Canis lupus familiaris: one gene and its partner. The protein of the gene in region 2 binds, or shares a complex with, the protein of the main gene of each other region. Links are inferred from orthologs where the notes say so. Each region holds a gene or a part of one and is shown on either strand. Other genes may lie near its edges.

Evidence for each region. Proteins that work in one complex are often made in the same cells at the same time.
Region 1: ACTL6B (region 2) and DPF1 share a complex: the UniProt entries of both Homo sapiens proteins name them as parts of the neuron-specific chromatin remodeling complex. The link is inferred for Canis lupus familiaris from reciprocal best matches to the Homo sapiens genes ACTL6B and DPF1.

The regions. Positions count from the first base shown.
Region 1 is NC_049222.1:115,605,550-115,610,880, reverse strand, and holds the end of DPF1 (zinc finger protein neuro-d4), read right to left. Parts: coding exon 5,232-5,331; intron 4,172-5,231; coding exon 4,059-4,171; intron 3,442-4,058; coding exon 3,318-3,441; intron 3,179-3,317; coding exon 3,108-3,178; 3' UTR 2,006-3,107; downstream 1-2,005. UniProt on the Homo sapiens protein: May have an important role in developing neurons by participating in regulation of cell survival, possibly as a neurospecific transcription factor. Belongs to the neuron-specific chromatin remodeling complex (nBAF complex).
Region 2 is NC_049227.1:9,000,360-9,004,771, reverse strand, and holds part of ACTL6B (actin-like protein 6B), read right to left. Parts: intron 4,350-4,412; coding exon 4,255-4,349; intron 4,187-4,254; coding exon 4,080-4,186; intron 3,410-4,079; coding exon 3,320-3,409; intron 3,161-3,319; coding exon 3,099-3,160; intron 2,990-3,098; coding exon 2,875-2,989; intron 2,733-2,874; coding exon 2,652-2,732; intron 2,556-2,651; coding exon 2,460-2,555; intron 2,273-2,459; exon of another isoform or gene 2,256-2,272; coding exon 2,169-2,255; intron 1-2,168. UniProt on the Homo sapiens protein: Involved in transcriptional activation and repression of select genes by chromatin remodeling (alteration of DNA-nucleosome topology).

The DNA of each region.
Region 1 (5,331 bases), on a different chromosome or scaffold from region 2:
CCCTAAGCACCAGCCTTGCAAACTCCCCTTCCTTGAAACCCAAACGACAGAAATTCAACACTCAGAGGGTAGAAAGTCCTCAAGTTGGAAAGAGAGAGATGGCACCGAGGAAGTCCTTTCTGGCGGCCAGAAAGCCAGAGCAGGCCCACGGAGGGTGCCGGTTTGGGAATCAGTGGTCAAACTTTGGGAAATCTGGAGGTTGCACAGGCGGCGGGCCCTCCAGCTCGCGGAATCGGTTCTCGGCGGGGGGCTCGGCGCCAAGGGCCCCCTGCCTCCCCCGGCGGCCTCCCGGGCCACGCCCTCCCGGCGCCGGCTCATTTGCATGTCCCCGCCCTCGATGGGAGGAGGCCTCCCCTGCCCGTCGGGTGGGCGGTTTCGGGTGCAGACCAGGCCCTGCCTCCAGGCCCTCGGGGCGCACAGCGAGGCGGGGGCGCCCCTAACCTCGGCCCTGGGCCCGGCCCGGCCCCTGCCCTCAGGAAGGCCTCGCAGCGTGACCTGGGGATCACGGTCCGACTGGTTTTCGGAACCTCAGAACCAACCGCACGTGAAATCCAAGGTCTGGCCTCCTGCGGGAAGTCCGGACCGAGGAGCAGCCAGCCTCGCGACGGGGCCGCCAGGTGGCTACACCTCACCCCCTCACCTGTCATTGGGTCTTCCATCTCTGAGCTAAAAACCTGATGCTTCTCTGACTCAGCCTCTCCCCTCCCCGCCCCCCCCCCAAAAAAATCTCTTTCCAAAACGGGTATATATCCTTTTTCCAGAGGAGGTGGACCAGCTATTTCCACATCTCCTAAAAATTCTAGAGTGTTCCAGACACTCTTCCAGTCCCCGCCCTCCTTGAGGCCCCATCCTCTCCCCGTGCGCCCTCCCCCCACCAGCATGGGAACGGTGGAACAAGATGTTCTCACATCCTCTCCTGGCGCCTGTGACACACACCGACGTCCAACGCCCCGCCGCTCGCACCCACACTGTGCCCTGCTGGTCCCTTCCCCATCTTGCCCCACTTTTCGACTTCCTCGGCCACATCCCGTATCCCCGCCGGCGCCCTCTCGGACCCTCCCCCAGCCTCCCTCTGGCGCCCATCACCCCTGGCTCTGTCCCCGGCCAACCTCCGAATCCCTCCATACCTTCGGCTCTCTCCACATTTCTCTATTGTCCCCTAAATGCTTTGTCCTCCCCCCTGAAGCCTCATCTCTGTGCCAGCGTCCTGGGACTCTGCCGTCCCTGGATCCTGCCTGTCGCTGCCCAGTGTGCCTCCCCTCTTCTCTCCTAATGTATGTGCCTGGTTCTCTGCCTCCCCTCATCGGCTCTCCTGCTTCTCCAGATCACTCTCTACCTCCTCCTCCTGTCTCTCCCTGGTGTGTCTGCTATTTTTTCTTACTATTATTTCCTCTCCCACTGAATCTCCATCTCTTCTGTCGCCCCCCCCCCCCCCCCCCGTGGCTCGCTCATCTACCTCTCTCCAGATCTATTTCTTCCCTCTCCTGCTCTTGTTCCGATTCTCTATAAATGTGTGTCTCTCTGCTGATCTCTCGGTGTCCTGGTTCTCTCCTCATCCCGCCTCACCCAAATCTGCCTCCCTCCCAGCATCCCTGGGACGGGGGACCCCAGGTGAGGTCGGGGGATTACAGGAGGTGCTCCTGGCACCCTGCCCCCTCCCCTAGCCCCGGAGGGCGGCCCCTTCATCCTCCCATCCCTTCCCCCCAGGCCCCAGCCCCCGCCTCCCCCCTCGCTGCCGATCGCTGCAGCTGCAGCAGCCCGTTGCCAGGGCAACCACAGCTGGCTGGGCGGGAGCCCCCTCCACCCCATCCCCCTTCTCCTTTCCGGCGAGGCTGGGAGGAGCTGGGACAAAGCCAGGGAAAGGCGGGGTGGGGGGGGAGTTGGAGGGAGATGGAGGTCGGGCGGGCTCCAGCTGTTAACCTCGGTCAGCTCTCCCTCCACGAGGCCCCCGTCTCCCCTTCCTGGCGATGCCCCCCAATCCAGCCCGCATAACGAGGCGGTCGCGGGCAGAGGGGTCAGGCCCAGTTTAATACACAGAACAAGTTAATTCACAGCAGAGGCAGGCAATAAAGGAGACTCGTGTACAAGGGGGGGCATGCGTGGATCGGGGGAGACCCCCCAAGCCCACCACCTCCCCCACTTGCAGTCTCAATTTCCCTTTTTTTTAACCCGAACAACAAACACACACAACCACGAGAAACAACCACGCCCCCTCGCTACCCCCAAAATGGCCAGCGAGGGTGGCAGGGGGCAGCCCGGCCTGGCCGGTGGGGAACTGGAGCAGGGGAAGGAGGAAAAACCAGTCCGGTGCAGAGTCTGTGCTTCTCATTCCAGCAGGCGCTGGGCGGGGGCCCGCCTGGCCCCCCCAGCCGACGCCCACCAGCCTGGGGGGTGCCCCCCCCACACCGCCACGGCGGCCCGACCTCGGCCACGGCGGGCACGGAGCGGGCAGGGCGGGGCGCTCGGGGAGGGAGCGGGAGCGGAGTTCAAAACCATGGTTCACGTCATGCAGTATCCACGGTGGGCACCAGGGCGGGGCGAGGGTGGACACCACACCCACCTGCCCGGGCTCACGGGGGAATGGTGCCCACTTTGGGTGCGGAGGCGGGACAGCTGCAACTCCGGAAACCGGGGGGCGGGGCTGCTCGGCAGGAAGCCGCATAGACTGGTGCCCAGTGGATGCTCAGCAGTGCCCCCTCCACCCGGCCAGGCCTTAGAGGACTCTTTGTATATATTAATTTCTTTTTTTTTTTTAACTTTTTGACTTTTTCTTTAGAAAAACGCTGTGTCCGTGCCCCGGGCTGGCATCTGCCGCCCCTCATGCCCGCCCAGAGGCGGGGTATGGCTTTGAGGGGAGCAGAAGCCCCTGGTGCCCATTTGCCAAGGGATGGGGAAGGAGGGAGGAAGGGAGAGGAGCCCTGCTAGGCCCACCAACCCACAGGGCAAACATTCCACTTGCACAGAGGGAAGGGGGGGCCCAGCCCCCTCTCGGGCTCCCCCTCTCCCCCTCCCACGGTGGGGCACTGAGGGCGGGGAGGGTGTGGAGGAGCTCGGAGAGGCAGATGGGTCAGCACCACCCCAGAGGTCCAGGTGAGCCAGAGCCAGGCCTAGGTGAGGGTGATGTAGGCAGAGGCCTTTTCTTTCAGGTGCCGAAGACAGAGGTGACAACTCCAGCTCCCTGTGGGGGAGGACAGGGGGTTAGGCCCAGGTCCTGGAAGGGCTGGCCCAACTCCCTCCCAACCAGCAGACACACAGTGCCTGGTCTTCTCCAGCAGGAAGCCCGCCTTTCGACCTGCCCACGCCCGTGTGGTGCCCACCTCTTCTCTCACCTTCCGGGGGCTCCGCCATGGGAGGACTCAGGCAGTACATGTGGTAACCCCGATCGCAGTCGTCACAAAACAGCAGCTGGTCCTGGGGGGTGAGACCCGCCCAGCTGGCACCCTGGGGGCACGGGCACCAGAAACCGGGGTGGGGGGGCTGGGGCAGGGGTAGGTCAGAGGGGCTGGGGAAGGTTGGTCCCTCCCACGAGAAGGGGCTCCGAGAAGGTCTTTGCATCACGGGATCTTTGCAGAACCCGGCTTGGCCAAGCTGAACACCCCTGTGGTCTGTCCGTTTGCAGTGTGTCGTCTGGGTTTGACAGAGTCTGCGGAACACTTAAAATGACACCCAGGTGGTCTGATACCAGCTCTGGAAGCACTGGATGTGGGTTCGGGTCCCAGCTCTACTAATTTCCTAGACGGGTGACCTCGGGCAAGTCATTTCCCCTCCCTGAGCTGGGTTTCTTCTCTGTGAAGTGGGAACAGGGCACCTACCTCAGAGGGTGGTTGGGAGGAGGCAGGGACATGAGGAGCCCTAAGGGCCCGGCCCGTTAACGGACACTAACAATAATGACAGAACAGGTTACCGCTGCTCCCCGGGGAGGGGCTCCAGGGAGCGGCCTGAGGCGCCCCGGCGGGCCGAGGGGCGGGGCGGGCAGGTCACCTGGGGGCGTGTCCCGGGGCGGGGCGGGGCGGGGCGTGTCCCGGGGGCGTGTCCGGGCGGGGCGGGCGGCCACTCACGTCATTCTCCGAGGTACCACACAGGCTGCAGGACTTGCACTCGATGCACTGCCAGCGGTAGGTCCGCACGGCTGCCGTCATGTTCACCGTAAACTGTAAACATGAGGGGTGTCCTGGGGGCCGAGGGGCAGGGATGCGGTTAGGGGCCATCGTGCCCCCTCCCCCGCGGTGGCCGCTGAGCCCGGGGAGGAGACGGCCCGGCCCCCACGCCAGCCCGGCTCTGAGGCTGGGCCTGACCCCCCCCTCGCGGTGCCCGGGCCGCCGCGCTGCTGCCGCGGCCACCCGGCCCCTACCCAGCCACCATGGTAACCACATTCTGCTCCCCGGAACACCATGGCAACCGCATTCCATTACCCACAGTGCTGTGGCAACCACTTTCTACCACCCACAACACCCGGGCAGCCACATTCTGTTAACCACTGTGCTGAGGCAGCCGCATTCCATTACCCACAGCAGAATGGCCAACAGGTTCCGTTAACCACAGTAACGTGGCAACCACGTTCTCCCAGCCGCGATGCCATGGCAACTGCCTGGCACAGGGGGGCCCCACACCCTGGGTTCCCTGCAGCCCGAGCCCCATTACCCGGGATACCCTGGCCGCCAAACTGCTTGTGACAATACCGTGCGATGCCAACCCGCTGGCCGTCCCGCTACCCCAGCGCAGAGACCCCCCCGTTGGCCACTACCCCGGTGCCACAACAGCTACCCAGTCGCCATGACAACCACATCGCACTACCCGTAATACCATGACAACCACAATTCATTACCCACTGTGCTGAGACAACCACAGTCTATTACCTACAAGTCCACCCTGGGAAACCACATTCTATTAACCACAAGTCCACGGCAAGCGCCGTCGGTTATCCACAGGACCCCGACAGTGGCCATCCATGACTCATTATCACAGTCCACTCCCCACGATGCCGGGGCAACCATCCTTCACCACTCCTCGTGCCATGATAAGCACAGGCCACCACCACCAATGCCATGACAACCACATCCCAGAGCCTCTCTGACCCCTCTGGGTTTCCCACAGTCCTCAGCAGTGGAATCCGTTGCGCCACCCCTGGGTTCCCCCCACCAGGCCGCGCCTCTCCACCTCCCATCCTCCAGATCTAGATTCCTGGTGTGCCCTCCACCCAGGCCCCCGGCAACCTCGGGTGGGGGTATCACCTGATCGCCCACAGTCAGCACAGGAGATGAGGTCCTCGGGACACCCAGTCTTCTTGGAGCCACCCAGACAGAAGTCACAGTAGCCGTTGGGGATGACAGT
Region 2 (4,412 bases):
CCATTGCCAATGCTTGGAACTGAACACTAGACCCAAATACTCAACTGTCTTTAAACACCTCCTTCTGAGTCTCTTAAGACCTCAAATTCAGCATGTCTGTGACTGAGTTCCCCCAGAGCTGGCCCAAACCTTCTTCAGTGGCCTTTCTCATTTTCTATACTAGTGCTGGTGAATGTAGTGGCTATTGAGCACTGTGGCTATTGGGCACTTGAAATATGGCTAGTCCAAAATTTTTTTAAAAGATTTTATTTATTTATTAGAGAGAGAGAGAGAGAGAGAGAGGCAGAGACATAGGCAGAGGGAGAAGCAGGCTCCATGCAGGGAGCCTGATGTGGGACTCGATCCCAGGACTCCAGGATCATGCCCTGAGCTGAAGGCAGATGCTTAACCAATGAGCCACCCAGGCATCCCATGGCTAGTCAAATTGAGATGTGCTCTACAGTTATAAAATACACAATGGATACTGAAGACTAAATCCAGGAAAGAGAATGTAAAACATCTCATTTTTATATTGATCACACATTGAAATATCTTGAATATAATGAATTAAATAAAGTATGTTCTTTTCTTTTTAAGATTTTATTTTTAAGTAGGGGCATCTGGCTGACTCCGTTTTTAAGTAACCTCTACACCCACCATGGGGCTCGAACTCACAACCTCTAGATCAAGAGTCACACACTCGGAGTGCCTGGGTGGCTCAGTTGGTTAAGCATCTGCCTTCAGCTCGGGTCATGAACCCAGGGTCCTGGGATGGAGCCCCACATCAGGTTCCCCTCTGCCTCTGTTGCTCCCCCTGCTCCTGCTCTCTCCCTGGCTATCTCTCTCAAATAAATAAAATCTTAAAAAAAAAAAAAAAAAAAAAGAGTCATATGCTTTACTGACTGAGCCAGCCAGGCAACCCAAATAAGATATATTTTTTAAGCTTAACTTTCACCAGATTCTTGGGGCTCTTATAAAATATGCCTACTAGAAAATTTCAAGTTATATATGTGGCTCCTCATATTAAATTCCTGTTGGACACAGCTGCCAGGAGCTAGCATCCTGGGCATCATCCTAGACTCCTTCTAACTTTTCACATCCAGATGCTGCCCACATTGTGTCATGAGCTCCCAGTTCTACAGCCTGATACCCACTCCCCTGTCAAACTCCAGTCACAGTGGAGGCCACTGTTCAAGCCACTCTCCACTCTGTGGCCCCATTGAGCTTCTTAAACTTGGGTCTGACAGCATCTGCCCATTGCCTTTGGTCTCCCTGCCTCTCCCCATGGCCCAAGCATCCTCTCTCCTTCTTTGCCTCAAGGGTTCTTACTCAGTCTTCCATCTTCAGCTTGAATGCTCCTTAGAGCCCCTGAAACTAGATCAGGCCCTCCCTTCAAGGAACACTTGCACATTTTGAGGTGACTTCCTGCTTAATGGGCTCAGCAGCTGGTCTGTGCTGCCTCCTGAAGCAGGGACCATGTCAGGCACCCAGGGTGGGGGGCCACAATAACTGGATGGATGAATTCACACTGTCAGCCTCCTGTATTTCTGACCCCTGTTTCTGTCTCCTTGGGGGCTGCCCCTCTAGGAGATGACCTTCTTGCTCTGTCATGGTCCCATTGTCCTGTCTGTGTGGCTGACACCCATGAGATATAGTTTGCATCTCCAGCTCCCTGCTCAGCATCTTGCCTGTGTCCCACAGCAGGTCCAGAGAGGACTCACCACCTATTGCTCCAGAACCAGCCTGCCTGTCTCCTCTATCTGCCTCCTGCCCACCACCCCATCCTCACTGCTTTCACTCTGTGACTCTAGGACAATGGAAAGAGCCTCTTCCCAAGGTGCCCTTGTGTCTGGCTCATACTCTGATCTCCAAAGACTCATTCTGGACATAGTCTTCCCAAACATGCCTGTGACTGTCACATTGCTTCTTTGCCCCAAACTTCCAGTGTCTCTCTTCTGCTAAGTATAGTGGGTGCCTCGTCCATAGCCTCAACTTCCACTAATCTCTCCAGCTTCCTGTCCTTCTGCTCCCTGATTTGTCCTGATGGAGCATTCACCCTTCTGGGAGCCTACTCTTTCTCAAAAATAAAAGTTTGTTGAATGAATGAATAAGGAGGCGGACAAGGGGATGGGATGTCTGGGTCTGCCTGGTTCCCACAGTCAGTGCGAGGCCAGGCCCCTTCCTCTCACCAGTGAGGCCAAGATGGAGCCCCCAATCCAGGGGCTGAACTTGCGCTCCATGGTGCTGTTGCTGGCGATGAGCTTCAGCCGCATGCTCTGGGGGGAAAGAGGGGCTGGGGGAAGCAGACACCTGGGTTCTGGGAAGGGAGAGGGCTAGAAGTGGGGAAGACTGGGAAGCCGCAGGGGGAGGGGTCTGCTCTGGTGGCCAGAACACTTGCTGTTGAGGAAGGAGGAAGGACTGGGTCCTGGAGAGCTAAGCCAGGACAGGAATCCAGGACCCTGTTGGGGGAGGGCTCCTACCGGTGGGGTCTTCTGGGAAAGCTCCCGATTGAGCCTGTCAGTGAAGCCCTGGAGCAGGGTATTTCCACCGGTGACAATGACACTGCCATACAAGCCCTGAGTGCAGAGAGGAGTGTGCCTTCAGGGCACAGCCCCTCCCTGTCTCCCCACTACTTTTGGGCCCCTGGGCCCAGACACAGGCTTGGGCCTCACCGGGCGAATGTCGATGTCACACATGCCTATGCTGGTGGTCACCACGTGGCCCACACCCAACATGGTGTTCCCCGACAGGCCCTGCCAAGAAAGGTGATCTGGGTTTTGGGCCTCTGCCCTCTCTCCCCAGACCCCAGTGATCCTTCCCAGCCTCCCTCACACCCAACGTTGGCATCCAGGGAATCCAACCAGTCCCCACCTCAATACCCTCCACCCACCCAACCTTGACATTGGAGGGATCGAACAGGCCCTCGGGAATGCGGAGCCGTTCAGCACCATAGTCTGTGTTGTAGCCATTGGGCATCTCATAGTGTACCGTGGGCATCTGCGCAGCCACCCTGCCCAGGAAAAAGAGACTCTGCCTGGGGGTGCTCACAGGGGACCAGAGGTACCCTCTGAATCCCAGGCCTGCCCCCTGTCCCATCCCTCAGCCATGGGCTCACTTACTGCTCATCATAGGGAGAGTCTGAGACCTGTAGCACAGAGGCCTGGAAGTCCTGGATCACCTCCTGGGGACCCAGGGACACGGTGAGCAGTGAGGGCCTGGTGTCCCTCCTCAGCACCCCCAAGCCACCCCTGCAGGGCCTCTCTGTCCCTTCCCCTCTACTCATGGCAGGGGAGCAGGAGCTGGGAGGGATAGGGGTTGTTTCAGGGGACCGTCTCCTCACATTGCACATGTAGTTATGCCAGGACTTGGAAACCTGGGGGAGCTTCTCCTTCTTCTTCCAGTTTGGAGGGGCGCCCTCCCGTACAGGTTCCTGGGGGCACAAAGCCTATGAGCATCCTTCCCACTCCACTCCTGCCCAGCCCACCCTGACCACACCCATGCTCCTGCAGCTAACAGGCACTGAGTTCTTTGCTCTGCTGCCCACAAAAGGTGTTCCTCCTCCTTCTCTCTCAAAGGAGAGAGAATGGGGAGAGCCTGTCCCCATGTTTGCCACTCATGCAACAGGTACAGCTGATCTGAAAGGCCTAGGCTGGAGAAAGCTGAGGGCATGGGGGATACAGTGGGAGACGAGAACCTTAAAGAAGTAGCCTTTCCTGAGCCACATTCCATGTGGGAGTCCAGGGCGGACCCTTTCAGTGTCTCAACACTCACAGCTGCCGTATATGCTGTAATTCCACTTCACAGGGGAAGGAACTGAGGTTCGGAAAGCTTTGATCTGCTCTAGGTCACACAGCTCTTACATGGCAGAGGCAGACCTTGAACCTGGGTCTGCCGCACTGGCCCTCATACCTCCTGTTACCAGCTAGCTGTATGACCTTGGCCATGTCCTTCAGCCTGTCCAATCTCTGATGCTTTGATTATAACTTAAGGAACTGGACTCAGGGTCCTCTGGGGGCTCTGACACTCCTCTCTCTGATATCTAGTGGGTCAGTGGGTCAACTGTCATAGGGTAAGTGCCCCAGGCTCCCCAAAGACACCACCTTGGCAGCAATCATGTAAGGTGGAATGATGTCAATGGCCATTTCCTGGAAGAGCTCCCGGCACTGCATGGAGATGAAGTCCCCTGCTAGGGGCGACTTGACAATGCCTGGAAAGGGAGGGGGTGTCAGGGCCAGGTCCTCCCCAAGGAGTCCCCGACCCCTGTTGAGGCCCCACCTTGCTGTAGGACGTAGCCATCATGTACTGGGATGGCGGTGGTATGGGTGGCCCCACTGTCCAGCACTAGGCCCGTGGAACGTCCGTTTGCAAAGCTGGTGTGGGACGGGTAGGTCAAAGAGACAGCAGCAGCAAGTGAAGGGACTGGGACTCAGGTC